2 linked regions of the Stegostoma tigrinum genome follow. The protein of the gene in region 1 interacts with the protein of each later gene in a biochemical or structural test. Links are inferred from orthologs where the notes say so. Each region holds a gene or a part of one and is shown on either strand. Other genes may lie near its edges.

Region 1 (17,316 bases):
CAGCGAGAGAGAGAAAGAGGGGACAGAAATTTCACGAATTTGTGCCCCGGGCGAACTGGGGGCAGGGCTGGAAAAGATGAAAGTGAGAAGAAATAAAAGGCTCAATTTAATCAGCTTGAAAGGGCTTCGGTCCGGGTTTCTGATTGAATTTTGGACCTGCGCATGATTGCGGATAAATCGAGCCTGACCACGCCTGGAGCTCCGCGCAAACACTGTGTACCATTCAAATAGGAGCTGGCGCGCAGCCTGCGACACTTAGAATCATCCAATATAACAGAAACATTTATAGCGCCCCATCGATAATTTTTAAAAAACTATCAACCACTTCCAGCAAGAACGTCCTGCTCCTTAATAGTTCCCAAATGGTCATTTTCTTTGTTTTTTTAATAAAACCTTCAATGGTAAAATTTTATAGATTTTACAACGCAGCTAAATCTTGGCTTTCGATACTTTGCAACATTCAGCCAACTCTCGTAGATGTGGGCAAGTCTTTGCAACGTTGATTTATAAATACGTTTTAACAAAGTGTCTTTAGTTCCGATCTTGTGAGCGATGTGTCAGTCACTTTACATTGGCACAAGACGCTGTGCTTACGCGCTTCCTCGAACTATTTCGAAGTTATAATCATGAATTGGCGGAGCCCGTGAACAAACTGCACTGCTGACGGTGCAGCTCGGTACTGTTACCGAGGGGGTGGCGAGAGACGGAATTCTCCAGTAAATGGGCAACGTGTTTACCTATGGACGCTACTAAACTGTTTACTGGAATAATTCGAGTGGAAAGTTGGCATTCCACACAGCAACCCCACCCCACCCCCCGCCATATACCAAACTGTTTTCTTCCCCTTCAAGCTAATGACACTGTGATGAAGAGACTACCTTAGAATAAAAACACTGCTCTTTTACACATCCCCGATCCGCAATGCGTCGCTCACATAAAATATAGCCGTTTGTAAAGGCTGAGTTCTCGCCTATTTGCTCGAGGAAATCGCTGGCTTTCTGAGCACTCTTCCCTCTTTTCGCCTTCCAACCTAACGCCAGCCCCTAAATCAAAGCCTTCGCTCAATCGAATGATGCCAATTGTATTTTTTTTGAATGACAGTCGGCATCTTACACGTCTAAAAAGATAGCAAAAGAAACATTTTGTAGGTGAAAATGGCTAGTTTTCCACGGTGAAGAGAGAGTCCATAAAACTGCAAGGACTGGCTGCTACTGGAGATCACTGAATAATTCATCCCTCATTGCAAGCCCATAATGTCTTTTCTCAGCCTTTTGTTTGGACGGTTTCTGTTCTTCTTTTTCTCTGAATTACAAAAAGGTTGCCTTCTTTTGTGGCGACCAAGCTGTCACTGGCATAGGCTTTGTCCCGCCAAGCCTAAAGTGTAACTTTCAATGGACTCAGGCTTCTTTGTTTTCCAAGTTCATCTCCAAGTGTGGATTGTGTATTCAAGCACCTCTTTGTATAGCTGGAAAAGTTGTACAAATGTTTGACCAGCTCATTTGGTCGTTTTTGTCTACTCAAGATCCTATTTGCAGCGAAATTCGGGCAGGTCTATGGACTCCAGCAACAAGCGACACTTTGTGTCAAAGCTTGTGCACAAGGCTAATGTTAAAAGGGACTTAAATTTATACACTTTTTCCAAGAGTTTTCTAGCTTTTTTTTAAACAGATTCGATGTTTTGATTAACAAAACATGTCTTTGCGAAAAGGTACTTTGTTAGTTGGGAAAAGAAGATAATCAAATCGCAACAATGCCCAACAAGTTAGAATGAGACACTGGGATACTTTTTTTTCCTCGGTGTTATGATCCAGATAGGAGCTCGTTAAATATACACTCGGACAATTCAAATGGCAAAGATGGCATATTAATCTGATCAATAAACAGTGCAGGCTACAAACGAGCTCTCACGCGTCATGAACCTGCTCACAAGTAGCATCACTGTCGCCCCCAGTTCCGTACCAGCCCAAGGAGACTGCGCCACTCATTCGGAGCCACTTTTCAGACGAGATTCAAGCGATACACAGGAAATTAATATTGCACGTTTTTTTTAGACGAAACCGCTTTAGATAACATTGTTAGCAGACTATTGGCAAGTAAGTCAGGGACAGTTTGATATACTAAATAGTCGTTAATGTCTTATAGTTGAAGTCTACATTATTCAAGTTTGTTACAAAATAAAATTGAAGGGTTGGTGAAGTACGTTGGGTTCTGTATAATTTGAGCAACTTAGGCTGAGCTATTGCTTAGTCAAAAGCCCCACAGTCAAAACTGCGAAATGCCATTGACTTTCAAGTATTAGACAACGTTTGACAGCCCTTCAATTACAATTAAAGTTGAAACCGTTAAAACGAATATTGTATTTTAAAGGTAGTTAACACACGTTAGGTCACTGAGGTGTATTCGTTACCCTACCACAGAGCCATCTATTCGTTTTTATTAGATACAGTCCCGTTTTATATCCACAGATGTCCCGTTTTATTGCTTGTGGCATCATATTAAACACAACTTGCAGTTCCCAAGAGATGTGACGAAGGAGCTGACAGAACAGTTATTCTCAAACAGTTAACCCCCTGACTTCCCGCAAAATAAAATTCGGAGTAAAGTGGGTAATGTCCCTTGTTTGGTAAAGTACCTTTGGTATTTCTCAATGAGATGGATGCTCTATGTAGCGAAAGATATACAGAAGGAAAAAGGTTGAGTGGATTCAATAGATCATCATGAAATTCAACCTATAGAAACAACCCAAAAGCTGTAAATTTATCAATTTCAATTGCGTGTTAGTGGTGATTCAGCATTTCTGTGACAATCAGCTGAAAAGATTATTTTATTATTTTATTTTTTAAAAATTGATCGAATGATTTATGTAATGACATCAGAAGGTTTTTGTCTCTAGGGCTACTGTTTATAACAGATGTATTTAAAGTATAATTCACTCAGAGTGGGATTTTCTATCGGAAACCCTTCTTTCACAATTTATGATTTTATGTCTTTCTAATATTGCAACATGAATGATTCTATTCGAATACAGTAGCATAGATCATCTCGACTTGATAAGGTTTAGTCGAAACGGAATCAAGTAATTTAGTCCAGATCTGATTTGATCAAAACTCAAACTCAAGGGAGTGATAAAAATAACCCAATTCGATGGCAAATCATAGATAACCTGACGCACTTCTCGTAACCTTTTGGAATCATGTAGTAATGAGAAATCGACATGATCGTCAATTTCAAATAGTAGAATCTAAGGCTAGTTTATCTACATTTTGATAAAGGTCCTGCGATGTTTTGCATCTACGTACATTATCGGTCCGAGACTTCAGAACCGGTGCCAAATTCCAAAAACGGACGAAAGCTTTAAAATCGCGGATTTCGCCAAATGTTGTGGTGTCAGAAGTTTACAAATTTGCTTAAAATTTAATTACTGGACTTTTGAAATCGATATTAAAATCATTTTCCATCCTTCACAGTTACACTGGATTGTTATTAAGAACATTATTTCATAGCGTTTGTTTCCACAGGCTCGTTACACCTGCGATCTCAAACTGAGTTCTATGTCTTTAAAGTCAAGAAGAAATCGGCAACACTGAAGCAAGAATAGCCGAATTGTTGACATTCTTGGTGTCCTTTACTCAATGTAAAAACGGTACGATTACTTTCTCAATCTCCGAAAACCGACCGTATAGAATTAAACCCATTCCTCCTGACAACATTCCCGAACTCTAAACTAAATTGCAGTCAAACAGTAAAAGTTGAAAATTGTCTCTTTATCTTGGCGCACAAATGAAGCGGCAAACTATCAACAGGTTGCTGTGCTGATAAGGCTTGTCCACGCTGGGTATCCAACTTTGAAATCGCCGCCCTTTGCTATAACTTTTTTGAATTGTTTTAACACCTTGGCGTAAAGTTTACCACCCGAAACCAGCTCAATAAAACTCACAAGACAGAACGAAAGCAGTACTTCCGTCCATTTTCTCTGATTTCGGAAAGTACCAGGACCACAAAACAAAGCTAAGGGCATCGAGGCATTTACAGCTGCAGGCAACTGTGTGCTCGTGGTCATTTTGTCGCATTCGTCTCGGGCAGTGTAATTGTTACTACACCAGTGTGGGGTATATGAACTTTCATCTATGTATTCTAAATTGGTTAAAACCTTTTCTTTTGGTGCAACGTTAAACGAAGAGATACCAGCACCACCATCACACCCCCACCCCGCCCCCACCCACCATCAAAACATGTAAAGCAATAATCGTTCTGGGATTCCCCAATGCCTATCCATAAAAATAAAATTGGTAATAAACATTTAAATTAATACTTCGGAATTGCTAAAAATACACCAGTAATGAGACGAATTCCACCTCTTACCCTTGCTGGCCAGAATGCCGTCTATGCTGTGTTTGGTCTTTTTATCGCAGTCTTCATATTCCTTCCTTTCACAGTCTTCCTCTTCCTCCTCTTTCTTTCCGAATCTACTCCTCAGAATGCGACTTATTGAACTCACTTGTTGGAAGAAATTTTTTTTTGTTTAAAAAAGATCAAATGATTAATTTAAAACAGTGACGAAATTTTATATTTCGCGTAGTTAAATGTCAAATAATGTGGGATTCAGTCATTAGTATAGAAATTCGAATAAAACTAGTCTTTTAAAAAATATTTTCCCAACAATATTAATCTTGAAAAGATGAAATTAAAATAAAAAGATTACATTTCAGCATCAACATCTATGTGGCAAAAGCATATTCAATTTCTTGCAATGAATTATTTTCTTAGTGAAATACGTAGACTATAATTCCTGTCTGCAAAATGGTAGCTTATCATAACCTTATAACATTGCTTTCTGACGATCCTGATAAATAATAATGTTTCACTTAAAGTGAATTCACACAGTATTTATTTTAATTGGATGCATTAAAGCCCGGAACCTACTTGAAGCAATTCGTTAAAACCATGAGCTGTTTAAGCATTCTTTATTGGTTTGCGCAGCTGGACACATTTTACATGTTTACGGGCAGTTCCAGGCTTAGATGAAGCCAGAAGAATTATTTCTCTATGTTAGTTAAATTGTTATTAGATTCCTTCTACCCATTTCACCCACGTTTCCATCGAAAAAATCACAAATACTGAACCAACCTGAAGGAATGGTGTTCCTATCACACATGCCGTCTTTCAACAACTTATCCCGGATTTCCCAACTAAACATTCCAGGATTCTCTTTCTTGTATTCCTCAATCTTTTTTTCCACGTCTGGTATTGCCATTTGCTTTATTAATGATGTTTTTACAAAAAGAGAAATAAAACGTGATTTACAATTGTGTTTAATAAGCTCTGGGGGGGGGGGGGGAATGGCCTGTTTCTTATTTGCATTCATAGAGGTATGCAAATTTTAAATCAGCAACAATATACTGTATTTTCAAGTTCCGATAATTCCCGACATAAAATTACTGCCCTTACAATTTCTCATCAAAATCCTAGAAAAAATACTTTGCATACAAGATGATTTAACACAAAACTAAAATCAGGAACTTTTCAACGTTTATATGGTCAGTTGCTTTTATTTGACGTAGTTCCCTTCTCCCAGGCATATACAATTGGTTACTGATCCAGACTATTTATTTTATGAAGTTGGCTTGTAGTGAACGTAAGGGCAAAAAGAACAAACAAAACGGGGTGCAAACGCTTTACTGATTGTTAACAACTGTAGGTCAGCACTTGAACTTTGCAGGCGCTTTATTGAAAATGCGGTGAGCTGTTGTACAAGTTCCGTGTTTAATGGGCTATATTATAATGATCGTTGGTCATTACAGCCTGCGTGTTTAATTGTCTGTGACAAAACAATCCATATTACAAATTAAACTACGAATCAAGTAATAACGTGCGTTTTTGGCGTTGTAAACGAGTACTGAACAGTTTGACCATCCTACTCGATTGTGGAGAAACAAAGTTTACCCGATAAAGAAAATGCTGAAAGGTATTTAAATTATTCAAGAGTTCCCTTAATTTCATGTGTTCTAATGCAACACTCCCCACCGAAGGGTTGAGCAAAATTTTAATTTTATGGACATACACAAAGAAAATATCAAACAACTTGCACGTTTATGTAATATATTGCATATCAGGCGAGAATGAAAAAAAACTGATTCTTCTGGTATGGAATAAATCCAATCTGAATACGTTACTGTAGTGAACCTTAAATTGAGCTTTATTATTTTTGCGAATACGAATCGTGAATCCAATAGTTAAATAGATTACATCTTTGCAATCCCGCTAGTTTAGTTATGGCATTTTCATTGCTACACGTGCCCTCAGTTTTTTTGAAGGAGTTTTAAGTTTTTGGTCCCTCAGATTGCCTAACCTGTTTCCCGATTCGGATGATCAAATGTTACTGCATCGTTCAACAAACCGCGTTGAATAAGTGGGTTTGAACGACGTGGGCTATGTCTGTCAAATTATTCTGTTCCAGGAACTTTCAGCTTTATTGAAATAGCGACATTTGGATAAAAACAGCTCATGTTATTTGCTACGCTTTGATAATGACAGTCGCTCGTGAGTCTTACGATTGTACACATAGGCAGTGTAAATGTTAGGGCGCTTTCTGCAAATACGGGATGTGAATTTCAGTTCTAAAGACGATACTACACTCCTCAGGTGGTTTCAGAGTATCTAACTTGCCTGTGTTTAAAGCGCATTCGAAAAGCTTGCAGAGACAACAGCTCCATTCGGACACACTTTTCAGGTGAACGAGCGCAATGCCTTTCATGATGCGGTAACTCACATCAACCAAATTCCAACACTTCATCAAGCAAGCATTTGATAAAATAACAGAAGAGCTTAGATCGACTTACCCTGGGTTTGCTCCCAGTGGCACCTGGTCTGATGGAACCCGTCTCCTGGTATCTGCACAGGATTTTAGAGACACAACCATGGGAGACCCTCAGTTGCCGGGAGATGACACACGGTCTGATGCCGTGATGGGCCATTTCTACTATCTTGTGCCTGATGTGATTTGGCAGAGGCCGGCCATTTATAAAAACTCCTCCGAGCTGGTTCACTCTCCCTTGACCTAAAGGCGTTGACACTATTTGCAGTGAAAACGGCAGCATTAATAAATGTGTTGAAATTTTTACCGAACAAACAGCGATTTGGAGAGGAAATCAAAACATATCACAACGTTGTTAAGAACACATCAGTGGACAGTGGGATTTCTGTACCTTACTCGATTCCCTTGCGGGAGATATGCTGGAACAAAATAGATTTTTGGTATAGAATTTGTCCTCGTTCCTAGCTGTCACTTTACAATAATCTTTAACATTGAATGGTGACGTTTGGATCTAAGATCTGAAGTTGTACATTCATATGGTATGAGGGGACGTTATCCCAACTCTACCACTGCAATAGTTAAAATATATATTCAACCATCTCCCCCATCCCACACACGCCTTCCAAACTTCTATGTAGGAACTGAAAATCTCAACTTTCTTTTAAATCTAGTTTGAAGATTCACCGATCCGACGCAGTTCGTGTTTACAATGAACTGTCTAGCGCAGGGATTGGACCCAGCGCTTTTTCACATGTGGTCAAGGCAAAACTTTAAAGGTATTTGAAACGGCGAAGGAGTTTTGTTTCTGATTGATTTCACAGAGTGTCTCCGTTAAACTTTAAGGTGTATCTGGTGCACGACTGCGCTCACAAGAGAGTTCAAGTCGCAGTACGATTCTACTCACTGGATACACCGAACATAATAATCGCAGAACGCCCCTTTATCTCCGAGAAACTTTGGAAAGGGTTTCTCCCGGAAAAGGCCAAGACAATTACAGCTACGTCTGAAACAATCTGGAGAGGGAAAGCCTCATATTGTTTTCGCCTCGTACAGAAGAGTTAAGGTTCTGCGGTTGCGCGACTAACGGCGTCTTTTAAAGAACTGGACTAGAAACCCCAGAATGTGCTTAGTCAGTTAAAGCATGTGCGGCTCACCTTCCAGTGGGAACCCGCCGCTGCGAGGGTAATTCTGTCCCGGGGCTGGCCGCATCATTCTTGGGACGGGTCCAGCCAACGTGCTCATTTTTAAAGGCGTTCAGTTCCCAGATTTTCCTGTGCGTTGCCGACAGGGGGGCGAGAGGAGGGGAAGGGGGAGAGGAGGAGGAGGAGAGGGAGAAGGGGGAAATGAAAATCTATTTTTAAAGGAAATGTGTGACCACTTTTAGGTAAATCCACGTAGGCTAGCTGACTTCAGGCAAGTTGTACAGTTGTTTCAGTTCTGAGCAGATGTGATACCCCCAAACACTCCGACGGAAGTGAGGGAAGGGCGGGGGGGGGGGCTCGGTGATGGGGGTGGTTGTTGAAGAAAGTTGGCTGAGTTTTTCTCCTGAAGTTTCGGAAGTCGGTGCTGATGGTCGGTTTTGTTGCTCTGCGTATGTGTGACAGGTACAACTGTGGTCCAAGGGTTAGGAGTTGGAGTCACAGCCAGGAGTCGCTGGGACGGTGACCTGGAGAATTTATCAGTTCTTCCACCCCTGGCTCCATCGAGACCCCTGCTTTCTGATTGGCGGATAGGCGAGAGTCTTCTCTGTGGAGACGTGTGTTTTCATTGGCCAATCCGCGCAATCTTCCTTCCCCATCGCTGGAAAAAATATGGTTTTTAAATACAAAAGTGAACGTGCGCCTGCCGCAGCTAAAGCAACCTGTCCTGTTGCCTTTCGCGACAGCTTTCATTCATTATCGGGCCACTGATCTAGAAATGCGTCCTTTAGCTGCTCCTTACACAATAAAGTAGAGTGCCTTCAGGGCAAACTCTGCTTTTGGAATCAAGTCAAGAACGCCTCTGAAGGCAGCACATCGTTCGTAGATATTATAAGCGATTATTTGTAATGCAATTCACCAACAATTATTTGCTTATAGGTCTCTTAAAACCAAGCTGGACTTTGGCAGGATCAAGTTGCTGTTTGGGGGCGCGTTGTGGGACAGTCCCACTGCAGGTTGAGGGCTGCAAAACAAAAGCCTCTCAGGTAAAAGGCAGGGCACTGTGATGATCACAGACTAATCAAGCCTTCACATATTCTGGGGTTTATATATGTACTATTAAGAAGCAAAAAAAGAGAGAAAGAAGTGCTCTGGCTGAGAGCAGAAGCGCCACAGCAGGATATGACGCCAGGACTGTTGTAAAGCCCGTCTGTCCTCAGAGAAGGTACTATTGTCTGAGTCCTCTATTTATCACTTGGTAACTGCCAGTAAACTCATCCTGTACACTCTGATCTTCAAGCACAGCCATCCAAGTGGGCTTTATTTGGAAGTGGCTATTCAAAAAACCCTGTCAGTCTGGCGCGGAACTTTATCCAAAGCCTTAATCAATCAAACGATGAGATAGTTAAAACTAGGCTTTGTTTGGGAGACGGTTGCAACAACCTCCTTTTGGCAAAAAGTCATCTCTTTCACTTACTGATTCTTAATCTCAACAATTGTTCTCTTATGCGAGGACACAATGATTATCAAGTGACGCAACAAAAAAAGATTAAAAAAGAGTCACTGGCTATTATATTAATTCCCCTTTTTTCACGTTATTTAAAACCAGCACTTGAAACAGCATCATCCTGTTTAGTGATCACCAGTGCAGATAAAGAATGGTCCCCGCATTTGGGGGATTGAATCAGAAACCAATTACTGTAACCACATTTCTCCAGGAAAATTTTCTCAATTCTTCATCTCACTTTTGATCAGAAGCAACTGGATTTTTTTTTCTCTTAAATTAGCTGCTTTTGACTGCGTAAATGAATTACATGAATGTGCACTGTCTATTAACTTTACAAAACTGCAACGGAGACAAAATCAGAGGTTTGATTGTACACGTTTAGAGTGTGGATCTTTATATAGCATTAGTTGGCAAAATATTCGAGAAATCAAAACTGTATTCGTAAACGATACGACTGTTATTGCATATAATAAATGCACTAATTTTAGGGATGGAGTAAATGATATTAAAAGGCAAAGGGATTTAAGTAAAAATGAATGTCAGAATTGTCATTAATGTAAGCAAGAAAATCTGAATTACATAACAGACAGCGAAATAAATCTCAAAAATTAAGGAGACCTTCAAGGCCAGGTACCCTTTAACTAGAACTGAAATTGGAGTGAATACGAACACTGCGAGTTATACCAATCATGCAAATATGGTCTTTTAGAAGAACTTGAAACAACGTTATGTCTTTCGTTTCACTCAGAATTTTTTTCGCAACTGCGTGTCGATTGGTTAAAACGGGAATATCTTGTAATAATAAGATCTTAAACACAAATTGTCGGAATTTTCGGAGTTGTACATTAAGTTGAACAAGTCTTTGATGTTCACTGCATTTGTTTGATGTGTGGATGTTTTGGCTTTTGGAGGGAGTACATTTCACGAATAAGATGCTTTTTGCTCTTCCAACAGAGGGTTACAAGTAAATCGTTCTGTTTGAACATCTCGTTAGTTATCCATTCGTTCTAACCTAGGATTATGATTTTAATTTAAAAAGAATACATTGAAACTGTTACAGTTCGTTTATCTTAATCCTTGGAAATATTAGCAATTTATGCCTTTAGTCACATATTTACAAACGCCTTTGACTTGTTTTTGTTTAACATAGTATTTGTCTCAGTTATCCGTTCACAATTAATTTCAAGCATAATTATAATTATTCGCTGTCGTCCAATTATAATTCAAACTATTGTTATGCAAAGTACACAGTGATCTTTTAAAACTCTATTAAGTTTAGATTATAAGAAATTGGCACAATTACTCAGAATTCTAACCCTCAAAATTATTAGGAAACCATTCATGCACCTTTGCTACAATTAATCAGAATAATTTATTAATTAACAATTAATAAATGACACAGCATCAGTATTTCAAATTAAATATATTTATGTAATAATAGCAATAAAGTAATAATCATGCGAGAACTAACATATGCAAACAGCAATTTGATGGAATTCAAGAAATCAATTTCAAACAAAACTCACAAGTAGCATTTAAAATTAAAAAATTCATCAAACTAACATGATAATTACTGACATTTTTAGCATATTGAACCTTTTGGAACTCAATATTAACTTTTTTAATTACAGAGTTTTATTTATAAATAAAAGGAAAATTATTCTACTCTTGATGGCTAAGGATTACATATCAACAATACAATCAATGTGTTCTAATGATGGTGTAACCACAACCTCAAGACAACAGTTTTTTTTAAGAGTTCCTAGACTATTTTTGATACTATTTCCATCTCAACAGATTCTCAATGTGTATCTTCACTCAGCATGATAGAAGCATAAAGACAGCAAAGTTTACTTTATTCTTGTGATTCGTATACATCTGCCTGGAAGTGAGTGGGGTTTATTTATAATGTTTTATATTCAACAAGGCAAGGAGTTTTGGTATTATGGAAATGAAACTTGATCTATCTAGAAAAACTTAATAACAGCAACAAACTGTACCAGAGTATACAGAGCACAGCCAAATACAGAGTAAAACTTACTTTACTCTGCTTTAAGAATATACTTTAATTTCCAAACTCAGGATAGCATTCACCATTCCACCGTGAAAACATTATGTCAGTTTCTCATTGAAATCATGCTTGGTGCTCCCTTGTTGAGTTTGTCAATTACATTTAAACTAGGGATAGTTTTCTATCAAGAAATCAATGCTGTTTTGCAACTGGATTAAAGACTGTACCAACCAGGAGGCAGAAAATATATTTATTCCAACAGTGTGCATCAGATTGAAAAAAACTCCACCTGGGAAAGTCTAGTCATTATTTACTGCTGTATCCAGTTCTACCAAAATGAATTTCTACTACAAGTTAACAGTGCATTTCTGTACGGATCCAATTTAGTTTCTGGAACTGGCTCTGCAAATTTCAAAACAAAATGGGTGAAAGCTTTTGTAGCAAGATAAACTAATAATAAAATAACGTGCGGAGGAAGAAAGTTTCATTTTGCTCATGTCCATTGTTCTACAGACCATATTCAATTCTTTGTTTCAAGATATCCATCCCATGCATTTTACAATTAAGGGTATATTCAGCAAATATGATTACCGACTCCTCAAGATCCCCCCTTCCGATAAGAAAATCAAGTGAGCTCCTAGGTGTTGTTGTCAAGTAAACATTGTAGCAATGAATTAAGAACGTCAGTACCTTACAAAGAAAGGTGCAGCAGTAGTTTGGTTATATTATAATTGTAGTACATCAGATTATGAATCTCAAAAGAGGGTCTAGGCCAGCTCCAGTTTTTGGCAATGTGTGAATCTCTGACAGAGATACCTCAAAGTGCTGGGTGAGGAGTAAATGGGATACTGTGTGACTTCAAATCATTCAGCAGCAATCAGCAGCACTAGTTTCAAGAAACCTGGCAACTGTTGGATTCAGTAAGACCCCATATCATCTAATTGGCTGGATGGTTTATCCAAGCATTAAAGATTTTTTTTGCTGAATACAAGAAAATTTTTAATACTTGGATACTATTTATGTGGATACAAAACATTTTGTGTTTTACAACTAATGTAATAAAATATTATTAATTGGCTACTTTACCAGTTTAATTTTACATTTAAATACATGTGCATTTTCCAATCCAATCTAGTTATATTTCTAACACAAGAAAACATTTCCCAGGACCATGTCAACATTTAAAGTAAAATAAATAACTGGACAGCCAGCAGATCATGTGAGAAAAAGCAATCACAGCACTCTGATATTCAACGTGAAAACAAAGGAATATGCAACAAATATGAAAGGGTGAAGGATTGGAACAGAAATTAAAACATTAATGAGATTTAGATAAATGTGAGGTGCTGCATTTTGGAAACACAAATCAGGACAGGACATAGATAGTTAATGGTAAAGTCCTGGAGAGTGTTTCTGAACAAAGAGACCTTGGCGTGCAGATTCATAGTTCCTTGAAGGTGAAGTCATAGGTGTGAGGCTGGAAAAGCACATCAGCTCAGACAGCATCCAAGGAACAGGAAAGTCAACATTTTGGGCCGAAACCCTTTGCCAGGAGTCACAGGTAGACAGGGTGCTGAAGAAGGCTTTTGTAATGCTTGCCTTTATTGGTCAGTGCATTGAGTATAGGAGTTGAGTGGTCATGTTACAGCTGTTCAGGACATTGGTTAGGCCACTATTGAAACATTGTGTGCAGTTTTGGCCTCCTTACAATGGTAAGGATGTTGTGAAACTCGGATGGGTTCAGAAAAGATTTATAAGGATGTTGCCAGGGTTGGAGAATTTGACTTGTAGGGAGAGTCTGAATAGAAGGGGGGCTATTTTGCTGCAGCATCAGAGGCAGAGGAGTGACTATACAGAAGTTTATAAAATCATGAGGTGCATGGATAGGGCAAACAGACAAGGCCTTTTTCAGAGAGTGGGAGAGTTCAAAACTAGAGAGCAAAGATTTAAGGTGAAACGGGAAAGATTTAAAAGGGACCTAAGTGGCAACCTTTTACACAGTGGGTGGTACGTGTAGTGAATGGGCTGCCAAAAGAAGTTGAGGTGATTGGTACAATTATAACATTTAAAAGGCATCTGGACGGGTATATGAATAGGAAGGATTTAGAGGGATATGGGCCAAATGGAGCTAGATTTATTTGGCATATCTGGTCGACATGGAAGAGTTGGACCATCAGGTCTGTTTTTATGCTGTATATCTCCATGACTCTAAGATGGGTATTGTCCAAATTGACTGAACAGGTACATTAGTAAATACAACAACTGAGCAGCAGTGGAGAATCTTCAAATATGAAGTGATAAGAATACAACATGGCTATATTATAAAGTAGAATGTCAAACTGTGGGATATTTGGTTAAGAAGAAAATTCCAAACTAAAACTAGTATAAAAAGCCATATGATAAAACTAAGGCTCACAATGCCAAATTGTGAAAACTATAAAAGGCTCACCAATTATAAAAAAGGAAATTGGAAAGATTCTTATAAACATAGTGTGAGTAAAGGAACATTGGAAAAGAACGTTGCGTTGCTCAGGGATAAATATAATTGTCGTGTCTCTAAATATAGTATAAACATAATGAAAACTAACTGTGAGTCAACTTTAAGATTAGTAGAGACTACTGACTTATGGGAGAATAAGCTGGAACATTGTGGAAAGGATTCAGAACCGAGCAGATCTCAAATGGTTAATTCATTAGACTCTAACTTTATGGATGGAACAGTGGAAGGAATTTAACATGGAATAGAAAGGTTCTGACTACATTTCTACATTATCCATAGATATGGAAACAATGCAGAGGTCCTGAAGGGTAGACCCTGTTCAAGAAGAAAGAAAAGGATATGTTAGGTAATTATAGTACAGTTATTGTTGTGTTACTTGTAGGTAAACTTTTAAAAGTCTTACTGTCATACCAGTTTACATTTTCAGAACTTTATGACAATCAAGGACATCAGCAGCAAGGTAATATTTGGCAAATTAATTTTGTTTAGGCATGTACAGGTAAAGCGAATGCAGCAGGGTTGAGACATGTTTTTGAGAGAACTCAATAAAATGTCTGAAGGGAATCTTGTCAGAAAAATGCTGGTGTGTGGTATAAAAGTTGAGTTACGTAGATATAAATTTAGTCTATGGACATGAAACGGGGTGTTATATTAATATGTATTGCTCGTATTAAAAAGAGTGGAAGAAATGCACCTTTCAGTGCTACGTCCATTTTCATCTTGTTACATTTAAGCCATTTAGATTTATGTATAGCCAGCAGAATTTCAAACTTAGCCATAATATAAAAAGAGAGGTTTGCAAAACAATAGGGAGACCCGATATAAGTTTCAGGAGGGAATAAGCAAGTAAGCAGAATGGCTAGTCAAATTTATTATGGAGACATGTCCAATTATCTATTCTTGGAGGAATAAAAAGGAATGGAAGTAGGCTTATGAAGGAGAACATGAAAGGATGAGCATGAGCAGAACAATCTAGAGATCACATAAAGCCATTAAAGAATATGCATGCATTTTAAAAGTAACAAAAGAGTACAAGTGTAAAGAAGTAATGAAAAACCTGTGCAAGGTTATAACTAGGGCACAGTTACAGTGCTTGGTGCAGGTCAGAGGTTTGGAATTTTGAGGCAAATAACTCACTTTCTGACTCCCTAATGCCTGTCCACCTTTTACAAAAGTCAGGTGTGTAATACTTGCCTGAATGAGTGCAGCTCCAACAACAATCAAGAAGCTAAATATCATTCAGGTTGAGGCAGCCCACTTGACAGCATCTTATCCTCCACCTTCCAGATTCACTCTGTTTGCCACCAATCCACAGTCACAGCAGTGTGTACCATCTACAAGATGCACTGCAGTAACTCACCAATTCTCCTTGGTCAACATCTTCCAAACCTACCATCACTATCACCTCAAAGGACATGGGCAACAGATGCATGAGAACTCCACCGTCTGCAAGTTCTCTTCCAAGTTACTGTCCATTCTGATTTGAAACTATAATGCCATTCATTCACTGCCACTGAGTCAAAACCATGGAATTCCCACCCTCACGAGGGTGTAAATACACCATGTGGATAGCAGCAGTTCAAGAAGACAGCCTCCCACCATCTTCTCAAGAACAATCAGAACGGACAATAAATGCTTGGCTAGCCAGTGAAGTCCATATGTCATGAATGAATAAAAAAATTGCAGTTATGAAGCGTATCTTTTTCCAAAGATACAGATCAGGCTGCAAGAAAATTTATTAAAGCTTTATTAAATTTTGGATCATATGAATAGGGAAAGTCTTCCCTCTGATTGAAGCTTGAGTGTTGAGGAGTCAGCAGTATGGAATTGTCAATAGAATTGTAAGGAGAAATTTCTTAGAAGATTATTGGAGCATGGAATTCTTTGCCATAGGGAATGGTTGAAGTGTTTACAAGATAAGTAGCTAAGTATTTGAAGCAGAGGAAGATACAGACCAGCAGCATTAAAGCAATAGGATTAGTATTAGATTACTCCAATTAAGAGCTGTTATGGATATAATGAGCCAAATGTTCTCCTTTTGTGCTGTTCTCCAAACATTTGTACTGTCACCATGTACAACTTTAGCTGGACCATATCTCCCCTTAATCTGTTTTCAATCAAGTGTCCAATGTAGAATCCTGAACAATGCAACCAAAAAGAGGCTTTCAAACATGACACAACTGTTAGCAGAATAACTGTAGTGTATGGAGAAACATGCTAATTATCACGAGTAATATAATTCACTACTTCCATCAACTTTTATGAATTATTAAATCTAAAGGCACATGGTTGTAATTTTCCAAATGCTGTTCTCATTTACTCCCAGTCTCAAACACAGACCTTAGCCCTCTTGCATTTCTTCACTTCAGGCCATATTGGTAAAAGTTATGCTGTATCAACATTAACTCCAAATTTTAGCCTATCACTTCCATTATACTTTACCTCCCTCTTTTTTTCCCTTTTTTGTTTACCTTTTCTGGATCCAACGTTCTTGTCTCCACTTGGATAGGTATGCTTTGGCTGCCAACACATCAAACTCTGGAATTCTTTCCCTGAACATTTTTTTTTCCATCTCATTCCTCTTTGAAGAAGCTCCTCAATACTTATGTCTTTGACCATGCTTTTGGCCATCTACCCTAATATCTCAGTTGTGGTTTGATGTCAATTTTTACATGAGAATGCTTCTGAAAAGCACTATGAGATATTCTATTGTGTTAAAAGTTAATAAGTGCACATTGTATAAAATTATTGAGTCCATTACTTCAATAAAATAATTAGTCATTATACTTGAAAATAGTCTCTGTAAAACGCTGAATAAACCAATTGAATAAAAATGTATCAAATGTAGGAACTGTCGATGTTAGAGAATCTGAGATAACAAGGTGTAGAGCTGGATAAACACAGAAGGCCAAGCGGCATCAGAGGAGTAGGAAAGCTGACGTTTCAGGTCGAGGCCCTTCTTCAGAAAATAAAAAGCTCTTTGGCACAGCAAAGTTCAGCATCATAATTCAGAAGTACACATTTATTATTCAAACATGGAAAAAGATACTAATTAACCAAGTGAAACATAAAATATGAGCTTAAATCTCAATGGTGCATAAACTAGGAAATAATATCATGGGCCAAAGGGCCTGTACTGTGCTGTACTGTTCCATGTTCTAATATTGTTCAAAAATAATTTAAAACAAAATAAAATTGCATATGAAGTTGTCATTAACAATGACCAATTGACTGAAGATATTTGAGCAGGGAAACTGCTTGGATATCAACAGAAAGATATTTATTGCATAGTTCAGTGATCTGAGTCTGTATTATTATCAATTAAAGGAAATTAGAGAGTAGACA
Region 2 (16,622 bases), on another chromosome or scaffold:
CCACCCTGCCATTCCACCCCTACCACTCCCAAATCCCTTTTCTCAACTTTAAATATTGTCAGAAATTCAGAAAGTTAATTTTCCTCTTATTTCTTTGTCTTTGGGAATCGTGGGTGTCACTGTCTGGGCCAACATTCCATATGGCACAATTGTGTGGTCACCCAATTGGTGTGGGGAAGGATATTTTCACTCATTGTTGACTTTATCATCTCCAAGTGTCTTGAGGCCATTTCAGGGGTCAGTTAAGAATGAACCACATTACTGTGGGTCTGGAGTCACATGTAGGCCAGACTGGGTAAGGCCAGAAGTCACATGACACTAGATTATAGCCCAACAGGTTCATTTGAAATCACAAACTTCCAGAGTGCTTTGAAGGAGAAGTGATACGAAAGCTTGTGATTTCAAATAAGGCTATTGGACAATAATCTGGTGTGTCATGCGACTTCTGGCTTTGTCCACCCCAGTCCAACACCAGCACCTCCACATCGGACTGGGTAACGGTGGCAGATTTCCTTCCCTAACGGGCATTAATGCATCAGCTCAATAATCAACAACATTTGCTATTTCTTTTTTTAAATTCCAGATTTTCTGAATTGAATTTAGTTTACACCAGGTTGCTGTGATGGGAATTGAGCCCATGTCCCTAGATCATTAGCCTGTGCTTCTGGATTACTCGCCCAGCGATGACACCGCTCCACCATTAGCCCCAGTTAATGCAAGGGTGGGTGTTTGTGGGCAGGTCATGGATACACACGAAGAAGAGTACAGAGATCTGGGGAGGTTGGAGCACTGGATGAGATGAGAAAAAGGGAAGGGATGGGGATGTGAGGCCATGGAGGGATTTGTAAACAAGGATCAGAGGCTTAAAGTTGGAGTGTTGCCTGATATGGGGAGCCCACGCAAGTCAGTAAGACCAAGGCTGATAGGTGAATGGAGGGAGGATGAGGGTTCAAATCTAGCAGCAGGGTCCTGGATGAGGTGACAGTGGGGCTAGACAGTGAGATATCAGTCAGGACAGTAATGGATAAATCAGTTGATCAAAGTGGAGGATAAACATAGAACATTGATCAGTACCTGACGATAAAGTGAGCATTTGAACCAGAACACAATAACCTTCTGCTGATTTATTAGATTAGATTCCCTACAGTGTGGAAACAGGCCCTTCGGCCCAACAAGCCCACACCACCCCTTGAAGCATCCCACCCAGACCCATCCCCCTATAACCCACACACCCCCGAACACTATGGGCAATTTAGCATGGCCGATCCACCTAGCCTGCACATCTTTGGACTGTGGGAGGAAACCAGAGCACCCAGAGGAAACCCACACAGACACAGGGAGAATGTGCAAACTCCACACAGACAGTTACGCGAGGCTGGATTTGAACCCGGGCCCCTGGCGCTGCCCAACCACTGAGCCTCCGTGCTGCTTTCTTTTCCAGTTTGAAGTTTATTATTTTATTCTCTTTAATTACGATATGAGTGAGAAACAACAAATTGCATTTCAATAGCATCCTTTACAACCTCAGGAAATTCCAAAGTGTCACATGACTAATGCATTGTTTTCGAAGGGCAGTCATGGCTCAAATGTAGCAAATGGATTTTCAGGACAGTAAACACATCAGTGAGAAAAATGTGTCAGAGATAATGGGAACTGCAGATGCTGGAGAATCCAAGATAACAAAGTGTGAAGCTGGATGAACACAGCAGGCCAAGCAGCATCTCAGGAGCACAAAAGCTGATGTTTCGGGCCTAGACCCTTCATCAGAGAGCTCTAGAAGGGTCTAGGCCCGAAACGTCAGTTTTTGTGCTCCTGAGATGCTGCTTGGCCTGCTGTGTTCATCCAGCTTCACACTTTATTATCTTATTATAGTGAGAAAAATGTACCTGATTTAAGGGTTAGTTTGATACTACAAAGATAATTGTTGGCCAGGACACAGGAGTAGGGGTGAGATTTCCACTACTCCTCTTCATATCATGGCTGTCAAAATATTCATGTACACTTAACCCTCCGACAGTGCGGTGCTCCCTCAGCGCTGACCCTCCAACAGTGCGGCGCTCCCTCAGCGCGGCGCTCCCTCAGTAACACACCAGGAGCGTCTGCCTGTCTGTACTCTGGGGTGTGTTTCAATTTCAGAATATTGCCAGGTGAGAGTGCTGCCCATGGTCACCCTGACAATAGTGTTTTGGCAGGAGGTGGGGGTTGCAGGGCATAGGGTCTCAGCTGCTTCCTCATGTGTCTATTGGTAATCATTTTGCTTTCTCTCTCAGGTGTGGACAATACACACTATCATCAGAAATTTCTGCCAGTACACCTCATGCAAGCCCCTGATGCTTCACAGCAGCCATGATCTTCCTCAATGGCTAACTGGAATTGAGGGGCTGAATGACTCAGCGTGTTACTGTTCCTCCTCCTTTCACCAGCACAGCTCCCACAAATCACCGCAATGGAACACCCACTTCCACGGTGAGGACCTCTCCTTGGCATCAATGTGACACCCAACATAACACCCTCCCATAAGTGCCTCCACATCCTTTGTACTGAGGCGGTGAGTCACATCCATGGAGCCAATCCAACTTGATCCATCACACCCTCTTATCGGCTAGACGCTCTGATTCCTGCCCAACTCCAGAGGCTCTCCCCTGTTCCAGCACACAGGGCAATCTGGTTAATCCTCATTTAGTGATTTGCTGTTGACTCCATCAATCCCACTGCACTCTCACAGGCAATTTGCACAGAGAGAAAAAGTTGGGTTGGGGGCAGTTCCCCTCTCCTGCCACCCCTCTCTCTAGTACTTGTCTTTGTTGGCAATATAATACTGTCCCCACCACCACACTTCTCCTTCCCTGGTCTCTCCCCAAAGGACATGCCTATGTTTTGCTAGGACTGGTGACGTTATCCTTTCTTGCTTAGGCTTCCCCTCAAACCTTCTGTCCATTTTTCTGCCTCACTCTGCTCCCAATTTCTTGACCATATCATAGAACATAGAACATAGAACATAGAACATTACAGCACAGTACAGGCCCTTCGGCCTTCGACGTTGTGCCGACCTGTCATATCGATCTCAAGCCCATCTAACCTACACTATTCCATGTACATCCATATGCTTGTCCAATGACGACTTAAATGTACTTAAAGTTGGCGAATCTACTACCGTTGCAGACAAAGCGTTCCATTCCCTTACTACTCTGAGTAAAGAAACTACCTCTGACATCTGTCCTATATCTTTCACCCCTCAATTTAAAGCTATGCCCCCTCGTGCTCGCTGTCACCATCCTAGGAAAAAGGCTCTCCCTATCCACCCTATCTAACCCTCTGATTATTTTATATGTTTCAATTAAGTCACCTCTCAACCTTCTTCTCTCTAATGAAAACAGCCTCAAGCCCCTCAGCCTTTCCTCATAAGACCTTCCCTCCATACCAGGCAACATCCTAGTAAATCTCTTCCGCACCCTTTCCAAAGCTTCCTCATCCTTCTTATAATGCGGTGACCAGAACTGTACACAATACTCCAAGTGCGGCCGCACCAGAGTTTTGTACAGCTTCACCATAACCTCTTGGTTCCGGAACTCGATCCCTCTATTAATAAAAGCTAAAACACTGTATGCCTTCTTAACAGCTCTGTCAACCTGGGTGGCAACTTTCAAGGATCTGTGTACATGGACACCAAGATCTCTCTGCTCACCTACACTGCGAAGAATCTTACCATTAGCCCTGTACTTTGCCTTCCAGTTACTCCTATAATTAATATTATCTTGCACTGGCTAGAATATTCACAGTCTGTGACTACTTAATGCTAATTTACATAGGATATGAAGAATTAGAGATGGGAAGTTGACGGATCTTGTTTGCTGTAGCATGACCTACTGAGCTCATTTTCATTTTATTTTGTAACAGGGGTTTAAGAGAGGTGCCACAACACGCATAATTGGCAAAGACAGTTCATCCATTTTCCCCCTTGTCTCTCAGTGTATCCTTCGTTCCTGTTCCCCATTCCCTCTCCATTTGAAGCTTCACATTCTTTGCTCAGTTTTCTCTATCCCTTTTACTTGTTGGAAGATTTTTTCCTCCCTCAGTCCATCTCTTACGCTCACTCCAACCCCTTTTTCCTCCTGTCGTTACCCACCTTTCTCCTTTCCCAATCCCTCTTTCATCTGCTCATTCTGTCTCTCCCTGCTCAGTGAACCTAAGCTTTTCAGCACCTCCTCCCTCACTCTTTTTATATTTTGTACTTTTCAGTTGTCCCTCACAATGTTAGGATGTGGTGGGCATTCCTTGCAGTCAGGAAATGTGGCGACTGAAGATTCATACAGAGAAAGGCTTTTCCTTGCAAATTCCTCCAAACCCAGTTCCCCGGCCCATTCCAATTCAGAATTTCTTCCAATTGGGAATAACAAGACAAAGGTCTGCAAACATTTTGAATGCATCCTCACAGACTAAACAAAGGCAGCAATATTCACAAAGTAATGTTTGCTTTGTATAATTTAGCTGTTCATTGAGAAGTAATTAATTTAATGACAAGCCAGTTGGAACCTGTAAAAGTAGCAAGTAAATATCAGACAAAAAGTTTGGAATCGACGCAGGAAGTTCTGGCAACAGTGGGTTCCTATTTCGGTGTATCTGCAGTCTGCGTTAGATGGAAAATGACTGGCAAATGCTTCTGAAGGACTGGTGCAAAAATCCGGCTGAGCAAACCACTATTTAAATTAGACCAGAGCTCCATAAACGATTTCCAATTCCCCAAAACTTTGTCGCCCCTAAACCCGGCTGAGAAGTTAGCACCTCTCAACCCAGGGCTGAAGAGCTTGATGAAAGGCATTTCGTTTCTCTCTGTCCAGCCTGCCTTACAACGGAAACAAAATGTAAAGCAAAACCCAGAAAGCGCTAGGCAAAAATTCGCATTTGAGTAACACAAACAGCTCAGGTCGCGTCTCCGCGGGCCCTCTATTCGGCTGGAGGGTGCTGGCATCTGAAATGCTCCAAGGGGAAAGGGGTTTTAACCCTCAAGAACTCACCTCCAGAAACACACTTAAAAACAGGTTTGGCTGCATTCGCGGAGACAGAAACAGAGTTAACGTTTCAAATGCGGTCTGCATGTCCTAAATGTTACAACAACTCAAAGATCAGTTCAGCAGGAGAGATATACCAGACTTGAATCATTAACACACACTCTCTCTCTCCACAGATGCTGTCAGACCTGCTGAGCTTCTCCAGCTAGTTTTGTGTTTGTTTCTGAATGTCAGTATCCTCAGTTCTGAGGAAGAGTCACCGGGCACGCAACGTTAGCTCTGATTTCTCTCCACAGATGCTGCCAGACCCCGCTGAGCTTTTCCAGCAATTTCTGGTGTTTTTTCGCTCAGTTCTTTAGGAGATTTTTTTGTGTGCGCGTGTGTTGAACTCACCTCCAGAGTTTGCCCAGAGTCTTGCTAAGCTCCGCGTTGTGGAGATGTGGGTATTGATCTGCTAGTTTCCTCCTTGCGGCCTGAGCCCACACCATGAAGGCGTTCATAGGTCTCTTGACATGAGGCTTATTCTTTGAGGAGCCGTTGACTCGGACCGGCATGGGCACTAGGGTCCAGTCATAACCTTCCAGCACTTGGCTCACCGCTTCTCGGATGCACAGCGGAAATTTATCTTCCTCGCTCTCCCGTTTGCCACTGCCTTCCTCGGTGCCAGCCTGGAACTTTTCATCTCCATCAGGAGCGAGAGAGGATCCAGGAGAAACTACCGACTCATTCTCTGAGCCTCCCGAGCTCGCCACGTCTGACACGCTCCGATCATCCGACATGGTCCCTTCCAAGTAAAAAAATAAACCCGATTACAGCTCGCTAATGGCTAGACACACACACACACACACACACACACACACACACACAGAGAGAGAGAGTCTAGAGCCGCCTTTATAAACATTAATTCATTCCCCGGAACACAAACCCTTTCCTTTTTCAGAAACACAATCAGAGAAGGGCAGAGAGAAGACAAAAAAAGTTTTTTTGGAAGTTGTCAAACTTGATTTGCACCTTAAGATTTGTCAGTGCCAGCTCTTCAGCGCTTGAGAAATTCCAACTAACTTTCTGTGAACGTTCTGCAGGTCCCTCCAGAGTTACAACGCCAGTTCTGTTTTTCTCTTAGTGTTGAAAGATTTAATTAAAGAGCAAACAGTGGGCATCATCCGATGGAATGAGTTGTCCTCTCAGCCCTGGGATTCTCCTTGCTTCCCCCCCCCCTCCCCAACCCTCCCCCTCTCCCTCTCCCCCTCCCCCCCCACTCCCACTCCTCCTCCTCCTCTTCCTCCTCCTCCTGGGGATATTCAACAGCAGAGGCTGCGCAACTCCCAGCTACAGCCGAAGTTTTTGTAAAAAGAAACGTGAGGGTGCTCGGTCGTTCAGCTTTAAATACCATACCCAGCCCCCATTGGCTACTCTGCCTGGCTCTTGGCGCCCCCCATGGAGCTCTGCAGCGATTGGACAGCTCTCCATGGGTGGGCAGGGCTTAGGCGTTAGACTCCACCCAGAGGCGGGGCCCGCTTCATTATCCGGAAGTGTGGAGTGTGCGAGTGTGGAGGCATGTTGAGGCTTTCACTTGTGTAGATGTGGAATTGTGCTCAGAGACCTGTCAGAATCAGGGCGAAGGCCTGCAGATGCTGGACGTTGCGCAGAGAAACTCAGCAGGTCACGCAGCGCCTGTGGAGAGAGAATCAGAGTTAATGTTTCCAGTCCAGTCTGACTGTTCTTCGGTTCTGAAGAACTTAAGAAGCTTTAGAGTCGTACAGCGCGGACACAGATCCTTCAGAGCAACCGGTCCATGCCGAATATAATCCCGAACTAAGCTAGTCCCACCTGCCTGCTCCTGGCCCATATCCCTCCAAACCTTTCCTCTTCACGTACTTATCCAGATGCCTTTTAAATGTTGTAATTATACCAGCCTCCACCGCTTCCTCAGGAAGTTCATTCCACAGTTGAACCGCTCTGTGTGAGAAAAAGTACCCATATGTTTTGTTTTAAATCTCTCTCCTCTCACATTAAAAAAGCCCCCTGGTCTTGAGATCCCCCATTCTAGGGAAAGGACAACGACATGTCACATCCAGAAGATAGCGGGTATCTTTGCAAAAATTAAATGACGTTCCTTGCATACACATGGACCGGATGGAAGTGTATCTACCACTAACTCTGGCATTCATTTCACATATGAACCTCGCTCTGTGTGAATAAGTTGCTCCTCAGGTCCCTTTTAGACCTTTCTTCTCTCACCTTAAAATTATGCCCTCTAGTTTTGAACGCCCCAATCCTGGAGGAGGGGGGCGTGGGGGCACCTTACCTATGGCCTTCGTGATTTTATAATCGATAAGGTTACGCCTCACCCCCTATGCTCCTGTGAAGAAAGTCCCAGCCTATCCAGCCTGTCCAAATAACTCAACCCTCTGTTCCTGGTAACATCCTTGTAAATAAAAACTGAAAGAACTGCGGATACTGTAAAATCAGGACCGAAAACAGAAGTTGCTGGAAAAGCTCAGCAGGCCTGGCAGCATCTGTGAAGAAAAGATTCAGAGTTAACGTGTCATGTTTTGATACTTCCTCAAAACTGGCTTCTTCACAGATGCTGCCAGACGTGCTGAGCTTTTCCAGCAACTTCTGTTTTACGTCCTTGTAAACCTTTGCTGCACGCTCTCCAATTTAATAATGTCCTTCCTATAGCAGTGCAGCCAGAACGCTACACAGTATTCCAAATGTGGCCTCACCAGTGTCCCGTACAACTGCAACATGGCATCCCAACTCCTTAAGTCAGTGGTCTGAGTAATGAAGGCATATATTCCAAACACCCAAGTGATTGTGACAGAGAGATGAAGATTGATTTTGACACATTGGAGAACCCCCTTACTCTTCTTCAGAATAGCACAGTGGGATTTCTTTCATCTCCTCAGAAGGTAGACAGGGTCTTAGTTTAACGCCTCGCCCAAAAGACAGCACAGCACTCCCTCTATTGGGCACAATTATAACATGTAAAAGACATTTGGACAGGTACATGAACAGGAAAGGTACAGAACAATATAAGCCAAGCACAGGCAAATTGGACTAATTTAGTTTGGGAAACTTGGTCGGCATGGATGAGTTGGACTGAAGGGTCTATTGTATGACTCTATGGTTGTTCTGCTGCGGTTTGTGGGATCTTGCTGTGTGCCAGTGTCCTGAGAGTGTTTGGTGGGAACAGTTTAGAGGGGCTTTACTCTGTGTCTAACTCAATGCTATCCCTGTCCTGGAAATGTTTGAGGAGGGACAATGTAGAGGAAGCGTTACAGTTTAGCAGGACCGTTACTCTTTAACTAATCCCGAGCTGTCTCTGTACTGTGAGTGTTTGGTGGGTGACAGTGTAGAGGCAACTGTATTCTGTATCTAACCCCGTGCTGCCCCTGTGCTGAGAGTGTTTGATGGGGGACAGTGCAGCGGGAGCTTTACTCTGTGTCTAACCCTGTGCTGCCCCTGTCCTGGGAGTGCTTGGGGGGGGACAGTGTAGAGAGAGCTTTATTCTGATCTAACACTGTGCTGCCCCTGTGCTGAGAGTGTTTTATGGGTCAGTGTAGCGGGAGCTTTACTCTGTATCTAACCCCGTGCTGCCCCTGTGCTGAGAGTGTTTTATGGGTCAGTGTAGCGGGAGCTTTACTCTGTATCTAACCCCGTGCTGCCCCTGTGCTGAGAGTGTTTTATGGGGACAGTGTAGTGGGAGTGTTTGAAGTTTGCACTGTTGTGGACATTCCACAGCATCCTGAACTGGTCATGTATTGCAATTCCTTCCCTAAACCTTTGGACCAACATCCTCGAACGGATGATCTGGTATCATCGTGGGAGTAACTCTTCAACATGAGCTGTCGTGTTTCAGGATGAGATTTTGTCACTATCTTCTTAAGAGATGGCTAAATATGGGCATGAACAGCCGGACCCGTGAATGAAGCCCACACCCTGTGATTAAATCCTAGCAGATCAGAGAAAAGATTTAGAGCAGAAATATTTCTTGTGAAACATCAACCCTGCTTGCCATTAAGTTACACGGAACCAATTTAATAATTGCCATGAATTAATCTGCACTCATTAAGAAACTGTAGCCCCATTGATTCCCAAACCTTCACTCACAGCTATTTGCGAATTAATTGTTCCATCCTGATACTGTATCCCTTTTGAAGAAGGCACTCATTTTTTTTCTTTCAAAAGACATACAATCGTTTCTTAAGTTAAAACTTCCAAGTGCTGCACAGAGAGATGTGCACACATCAGGACCAACACAAGAATGCCAAATTTCAAGCAATCATAACAATCTATACCATGGTTGGTTGTCAGGTCAACTTTGATTTGCTAAGCTGTTGCCATGGAGAGGAAAATGGGGAACTACAGGCTTTTCAATCATGTGGGTAATTCCAAAAAGGCATAAGGTTTAAGCAGAGATAGCAAGGTGTGGAGCTGGATGAACACAGGCTAAGCAGCATCTTAGGAGCAGGAAGGCTGACGTTTCGGGCCGAGACCTTTCTTCAGAAAAAGGGTCTATTTCCGATGAAGGGTCTAGGCTGAAACATCAAGCTTTCCTGCCCCTCTGACGCTGCTGGGCCTGTGTTCATCCAGCTCCACACCTTGTTATCTCGGATTCTGCAGCATCTGCAGTTCCTACTGTCTCTGATACAGGGTTTAAGCATGTTTCTTTCTCTCAGTAGAGAATGTGCCCTATTTCTGAATGTATGTTGCTTTTAGCACATACAAATGCATGACACCCTGAGTTCAGCTGGGTATCTTATATCGGTTATCAGTGCTGTGCTCTGAATTATTCTGCAATTGTTACCCAAATATATAATCACATCCTGACCATAGATGTTTTGCTTTTGGTTTTACAACAGCAGGATGATTGAGTATAATTTGTGGTCTGCCTATAGCAAACGACCAAAGGAACATGCAGTCTGATTTGATGAGTTGATCACTAGGATTTGTGCCGAATCACCCAGGACTGAAAATTGGACACAACTTTGACCAAGACAATTTCCACCCAATGAAGCTGAGCTGGAATCTCGCTGAAAATGCAGTGAGGAACTACCAGGTTCTCAAGGTAGATCCTAGCTTGGTGTTTGAGCAAGGTCTGTGAATTACCTTCAGTTTCCACTTTTGCCCACTGGTTATCCAGAAAAGAAAGGATTGTAGGCAAGATTCCAAGGCTGGCATTAACCAATTGCCTCACTCTTCCTTTGATTTGCATTTGGACCCGAGGTGCTGAGATGAGGAGGACACTGTGGTATTGAAACAAACAAGCTGCCATGTAATCGCACTCTGAGATGGACCTTCAGGCAAGGTAAAAGAAAATAACTGAATTCTATGTGCTGGCCATTCATGGTTGGAGTAATTTCAGTAAAACACTCCCAATAGCTCAGTAACAAAGTGTGTAGCTGGATGAACACAGCAGGCCAAGCAGCATCTTAGGAGTGCTCCTTAAGATGCTGCTTGGCCTGCTGTGTTCATCCAGCTACACACTTTGTTATCTTGGATTCTCCAGCATCGGCAGTTCCCATTATCTCCAACAGCTCAATAACGCAGCTGACCAGGCTGATTATTTGCAATGTCAACCACGTGGATCCTATTACACTGATCTCCATCGTCCTTCTTTGCTAAGCTCCAGGCCACTGCGTGGTACGGACACGGAAAGGTCCCATCCACTAGCACACAGACCCTGCGTTGATCCTTCCACTACAGTACCGAGGGAGTGCCGCACTGTTGGAGGGTCAGTGCTGAGGGAAGGCCTCACTGTCAGAGGGTCAGTGCTGAGGGAGTGGCACTGTCGGAGGGTCAGTGCTGAGGGAGTGCCGCACTGTCCTGCAATGAATAACACCCCTCTTGACTCCTCAACATCTGTCCACAATTAATAAGGCTCAAATAAAAGTAAAATAATGCAGCTGTGGGACTGTTGGAATAAAAACAGAAAGAGCTGGATAAACTCAGCAGGTCTGACAACATCTGTGGAGAGAAAAGCAGAGTTCATGACTGAAATCCAACAACTGTTTTTCGGAACTACAAGGCAAAGTCAGGAGTGTGATGGAATACTCCCCACTTGCCTGGACGGGTGCAGCTCTAACAATAACCAAGAAGCTCAACACCATCCAGGACAAAGCAGCCGCTTGATTGGCACCACATCCACAAATATCTACTCCCTCTGTCACCGACACTCAGTAGCAGCAGTGTGTACCATCTACAAGATGCTCTGCAGAAATTCACCAAAGATCCTCAGACAGCACCTTCCAAACCCACAGCCACTTCCATCTAGAAGGACAAGGGCAGCAGATACATGGGAACACCACCCCCTGCAAGTTCCCCTCCAAGCCACTTACCCTCCTGACTTGGAAATATATCACCATTCCTTCACTGTCGCTGGGTCAAAATCCTGGAATTCCCTCCCTAAGGGCATTGTGGGTCAACCCACAGCACATGGACTGCAGTGGGTCAAGAAGGTAGCTCACCCCCACCTTCTCAAGGGGGGCAACTAGGGACAGGCAATAAGTATGAGGCCAGGCGGTGATGTGCACAATTGAAAACAAAGTTTAAAGGACAGCGGGGAGTTGGTATGGTTTAGTGGTATTTTTGCCTGTGTTTGAATTCTGCCATGGCTAATGATGGAGTTTGAATTCTGTCAAAAATCTGGAATTAAGGTTCTAATGAACCTGGTGTCATATGTCAGGAAAATCCTGTCTGGTTGTTGGAGGGAAGGAAATCTGCTCGGGTACACCATCCACATTGGTTTTGGCCTACTCATGGCTCCAACTCCCCCCTGGGCAAATAGGGATGGGCAATAAATGCTGGCCTAGCCAGGGACGCCCACATCCTGTGAATGAATGAATAAAAATGGGTGAAAAGGTCACTTGCGCTGTAACATTAACTCTGATTTCCCTCCACAGATGCTGCCAGACCTGCTGAGCTTTCGCAGAAATTTCTGTGTGTGTTTCTGATTTATGGCTTCCACAATTCTTTCAGTTTTTATTTAAAACGATTCTTATCCATTTCTGAAGTGTAATGGAATTAACTTGTACAAATTGGAGTTGTAGAATAATTACTGTTATTGATTCTTTCCCTAACCTCTCCAAGTATTGAAGAATCATGACTCGATCTTTTCATTACTTTGTAAATATGTGAGATCACGAGGTGGGTTTTGTTTTGAGCTATTTGAACATCCTTTCAAAGCATCAACCCTTGCGTTACATCTTTTGTGTGTGCTGGACTCATCAACTCTTCCTACACATGCTTCCAGCTGCTATGTTTGCCCTCTTGTAGAAAGGAAACTTTTTTGACCTCTAGCCTAAACATGCTGTTTCTGGTTCTGATTGGATCAGCTCCCAGTCTCAACCTTGCTCCTTCCACTGCATCATCACCACATCTTCTCCCCTTTCTTCTCCTGTTTTCAGATAGAAGGAATAGGGAGGGGTTTCTCTCACAATTTACCTTTAATGAGGAGTGAACCCTACATTCTGAAGGAGCTTGACAGTGCTGATGCAGAATGGATGTGACCCCGTTCTTAGGGAGGGACTGGATTCGAATCAGGGACACTGGGCTGAATCTTGTCAAAAAAACAGCTGAGTGTCTATTCCAGGGAATTCCATGGAGACTTGCCCTCCATGACCTCTCTCACTCAATTCTCTTGCCATGCACTGATCCCATTTTTGTAAATCTATCGGCACCTTGTGACATCGCCTCCCTGATCAACATTCCCTGTCATTGTGGCTACAACATTCCCTGTGGTTAACACCCATTGATCTCTCCCTAACACAGGCAGAGCACAATGCCATGTCATTGCCGAATCTGGCAACAGCACACTTTGTAAAGACTTCAGTTGTTAAAGCTTTTTCTTTAAATTAAACAACAAGGAAAGTGAGGAAAGTACAAGCAAAAATACCGCTGCATTCGTGCCTGAGAGTAAATGGGCTGTGATTGGCAAGTATATTCACCATCAAAGCATTTTCTAATCAGCCTGTTCAGGGCTGTTATTGCACACCCATGGAGCACACTCATTAGAACCTCAGCTTTATGGTCTGGAGGAGGGACACTACCATTGCATTACCTAAACTTACAGTCAGCGAGCGATCACTTCATCCACCTCAGGTCCACTGGATGTCGGTTGAGTCCTGCCTGGGGTGTTGCACTCTAAACTGCAGCACTCTATCCTGTCGAAGATGATGTTCCCCCTGCATCACATTCCCATCTTCATCCTCAGAAGGCTGCTGCTGTTCTTCAAACTCTTCAGAGTCCATCCATCCCCTCTATACCTGGGCCAGATGACTAGGCATACATCGCATTCGCAGGGGGTTCTTGAGGCCTGTCTGCTCCATGATGGGGAAAGATAGAATCAAGATGGGCCAAAAGGCATCTTCTCCTCAAAAAATTGAGCCATTGAATGGTTGCAGATGTAGGAGGCCTGGGCTGGGTTAGACTGATAGGATTTGTGGGTTTGCTCTGCAATAAGCAACAACACTTTGGATGATGACCAATTGGGAGCCAGTTTCAGAATGGGGGAGAGTTTCTAAAATTGACCCTAACTCAATAACCTGTCCCCCCCACCCCACTGACCTTCCCCGGCCTCCCCCCAGTCTACCTCGTGACCCTAAACATTTCCCCACTCAATCCCATCCAGCTCTCCCCCCCTCATCATTACCTTGCTCAACCTCTTACCCCAGTCACCCCCTCACCCCCAACCCTGCTCACCTGCTCCCCCCTGCACATCCCCTCACTCCGGTCACCCCCTCACCCTCAAGCCTGCTCACGCCCTCACCCCGGTCACCCCTCAACCTCAAACCTGCTCACCCGCTTACCGCGGTCACCCCCTCACCCCTGCTCATACCCTCACTGTCAATTGACTCAATCCTTCACTGCTTAACCCTTCCCAACTGGTCGCCCCTCAAACCTTCAACCGCCCCTGGCCCTCAAACTAAACCCCAGTGCAACCCTCCGGAACACGAAGCCTCAATGAGAAGCTACCCGTGTAATGAGGGTTAAAGGTCAGCATATAAAACCACTCCCTTATTTAGACACAATGCCATCATGGCCCCTTGGATCCAACAAACTTTGACAAACTTCCCCAGCCCTTCCCCTGACTCTGTCAGCGAGGAGGCCTATGCTGGGAAGGTGAAACATTTGTAATGCCCCTCTGAAGGATGAGGTGCTGGTGACAGTGAGAGTGGTTAGTTTGCAACACAGTGAAGCTGCTGGCATTGTGATGCCAGCCGGCCCCCTCAGTGCCGGCCTGATGAAAAGGCATCATTTGAGGAGGTGCCCCGTGTGGGAGAGCCAGTGGGAAGGCGTTGATAAAGAGCTACAGTTGGGTCCTTTGTCTTAGGTTCATTCCCACATCTGCACAATCAGCAGAGCAATGGACAAAGTCACTGGAGGCCAAAGACAGTCGGGATCACAACACAGACTGTGTAACCACCTCGGCATTAACTCGATGATCCCACGTCATCAGAATTTCCCATGATTTCTGCAAAAGGAGAGAAGCTTGTTTTCGTTCTGCTTTTGACTCTTGCCATTCACCAGGATGACCCCATGATCATGAATATTTCATCTTAGTGTGAAATCAATCGATAAATGTGACATAGGGCTTTGTTTATTTCTGGTGATTTTTTTCCAAAATAAGGAAAAGAAGGAATTTCACACGTGGGTTGTTACAAGTAAATAAGTTGGAGTTAACCATGCCTTAAGGAGCATTGCAAACTGAGGCAACAGGAATGATAAAGCTGGAGTTTGGTTGTGTGAAGTGGCGTAGTGTAAAGGTGGAGAAATAAAATTGAGATGCGGAATCTAACGGAATATAGAACAGCTTGGAGAGGCTGAAATGCATTGTCCTCTTTCTAATTTGCCCAGATCACTGTGAAAGGGCAGTTTATAGAAGCATTTTATGCCTTGGAATCAAAGGACACATCTAAATACTTCTTCAATGTTATGAGGATTTCTGCCTCTATCACCCTCACAGGCAGTGAGTTTCAGATTCCCACCACTCACCCGGGTGTAAAAGTATATTAAGTCTCCCCTAACCCTCCTGTTCCTTCCCTTAATTCTATGTCCCCTGGTCATTGATCCCTCCACCAAGGGAAAAAAATTCCTTCCTGTCTACCCTATCTATGTCCCTCATAATTTTATACTTCTCAATCATGCCCCTCTCAGTCTCCTGTGTTGTAAGAAAAACAACCCCAGTCTATGCAATCTCTTTTTCTCACTGAAGCTCTCCAGCCCAGGCAACATCCTGGTAAATCTCCCCTGTATTCTCTCCAGGGCTATCACATCCCTCCTATAATGTGGATTCCAGAACTGTGTTTATATTTGTAGTGATTGGAACCAGGGCCGGGTGGCTCCATTGACTATGAGACCCTTAATTGGGGTTGCTAGCCTGGCCCAATCAGGGAGCCCTGGCTGACAGATATAAACAGGAGATTCAGAGAGTCTCCTTAGTCCCGGGCCCGGCTATGAGCTGGTGGTCAGAGACCTGTAAATAAGGGGTGGTTGGTTGATGGGATACTGGCCCCCAAGCAGTTATTGCAATATTATACCCTTATAGTTTGTTATTATGTAAGACTGGAAATTTCTGAAGCTTAAATGAGGCAGCAGCATCAAAACCCCATTTTCTCCTTGCTGCTATCCTACGAAACAAGAGTGTTTCAGTAGTTGGACTGCTCAGCGAGCCTTTGTCACTGGGAAGGCAAACACTTCCTTCCTCGGCCCCTCACAGTCGAGGCAAAGGTAGCATTGACCCTGGTGAATGCCCAAACTGTGGGAAACATGCTCAACCTCATCATGTTGTGTTGCAGGAAGTCGGTGGAGTTTTGGCCTTGTGTCAGGGATTTTGGAATCCACCTGAACAGCTGATGGAACACTTGCGGGTATTTAAATAGCTTTCCATGCGCGCTCCCCCCCCCAACTCCCACTCCCTCTCCCCAGTACCTGGGACATTCCCACCGCACCAATCCCTTACACAGGGCAGCCTTTATATGGGGCCTGCGGCTTGATATAAGACTGGTATTGTATTTGCCTGGCGTGGTTTGCAGCTCAGCATGGCAACAATGAATTTAATGTACAGTGAGGTCTTTTAGAAGCAATAGGGGCCCAGAACAATTCGCCTTGTGTTTCCAATTTTGCAGTATGAATGGTAAGTTAGATAAGACTTTGGGGCCTAGTTGTGTATCCCCTTTGTTCAGTCCCAGGTGAACTGGGACCATGTGATCAAATGTAAAGACTTGTTAAAATGAATAGCTGAAGGGACAGAGTCACAGAACGACAACATGTTTTCAGTCTGGTTGCTGTCTGTCTCCTTTTGAACATGGTGAACATTCCAGAAGCCACCAAATTTACCTCACGTAGTAGTTGGAATTTTGGGCCTACACAGCCGCAGCTGCCTGTCAAGTGGAATCCAGTGTTGATGTGTTTTTATTTGGGGAGAGAAATAATATCCCGATTTTGGAATCTACAAAGGTTTGTGAAAATGTCTTGTGCGTTTGACAGCAGGGTTAATGATTCTGGCTTTTCTTAAAAATGACAAGGCAAAGAATTGTATTTTGCTTGAGGTGGGGTCTGGGTGACTGTCACACAGGTAGCTGCAATGAATTAAAGTCTGCACTTGCT

The links.
Region 2: the proteins of pax3b (region 1) and sox10 form a complex in vitro, tested with the Homo sapiens proteins (2 studies listed by BioGRID and IntAct). The link is inferred for Stegostoma tigrinum from reciprocal best matches to the Homo sapiens genes PAX3 and SOX10.

The regions. Positions count from the first base shown.
Region 1 is NC_081367.1:23,443,378-23,460,693, forward strand, and holds the start of pax3b (paired box protein Pax-3b), read right to left. Parts: upstream 8,517-17,316; 5' UTR 8,057-8,516; coding exon 7,969-8,056; intron 7,073-7,968; coding exon 6,840-7,072; intron 5,258-6,839; coding exon 5,128-5,257; intron 4,498-5,127; coding exon 4,363-4,497; intron 1-4,362. UniProt on the Homo sapiens protein: Transcription factor that may regulate cell proliferation, migration and apoptosis. Involved in neural development and myogenesis. Transcriptional activator of MITF, acting synergistically with SOX10.
Region 2 is NC_081391.1:23,831,251-23,847,872, reverse strand, and holds the start of sox10 (transcription factor SOX-10), read right to left. Parts: upstream 6,216-16,622; 5' UTR 6,021-6,215; intron 5,794-6,020; 5' UTR 5,789-5,793; coding exon 5,403-5,788; intron 1-5,402. UniProt on the Homo sapiens protein: Transcription factor that plays a central role in developing and mature glia.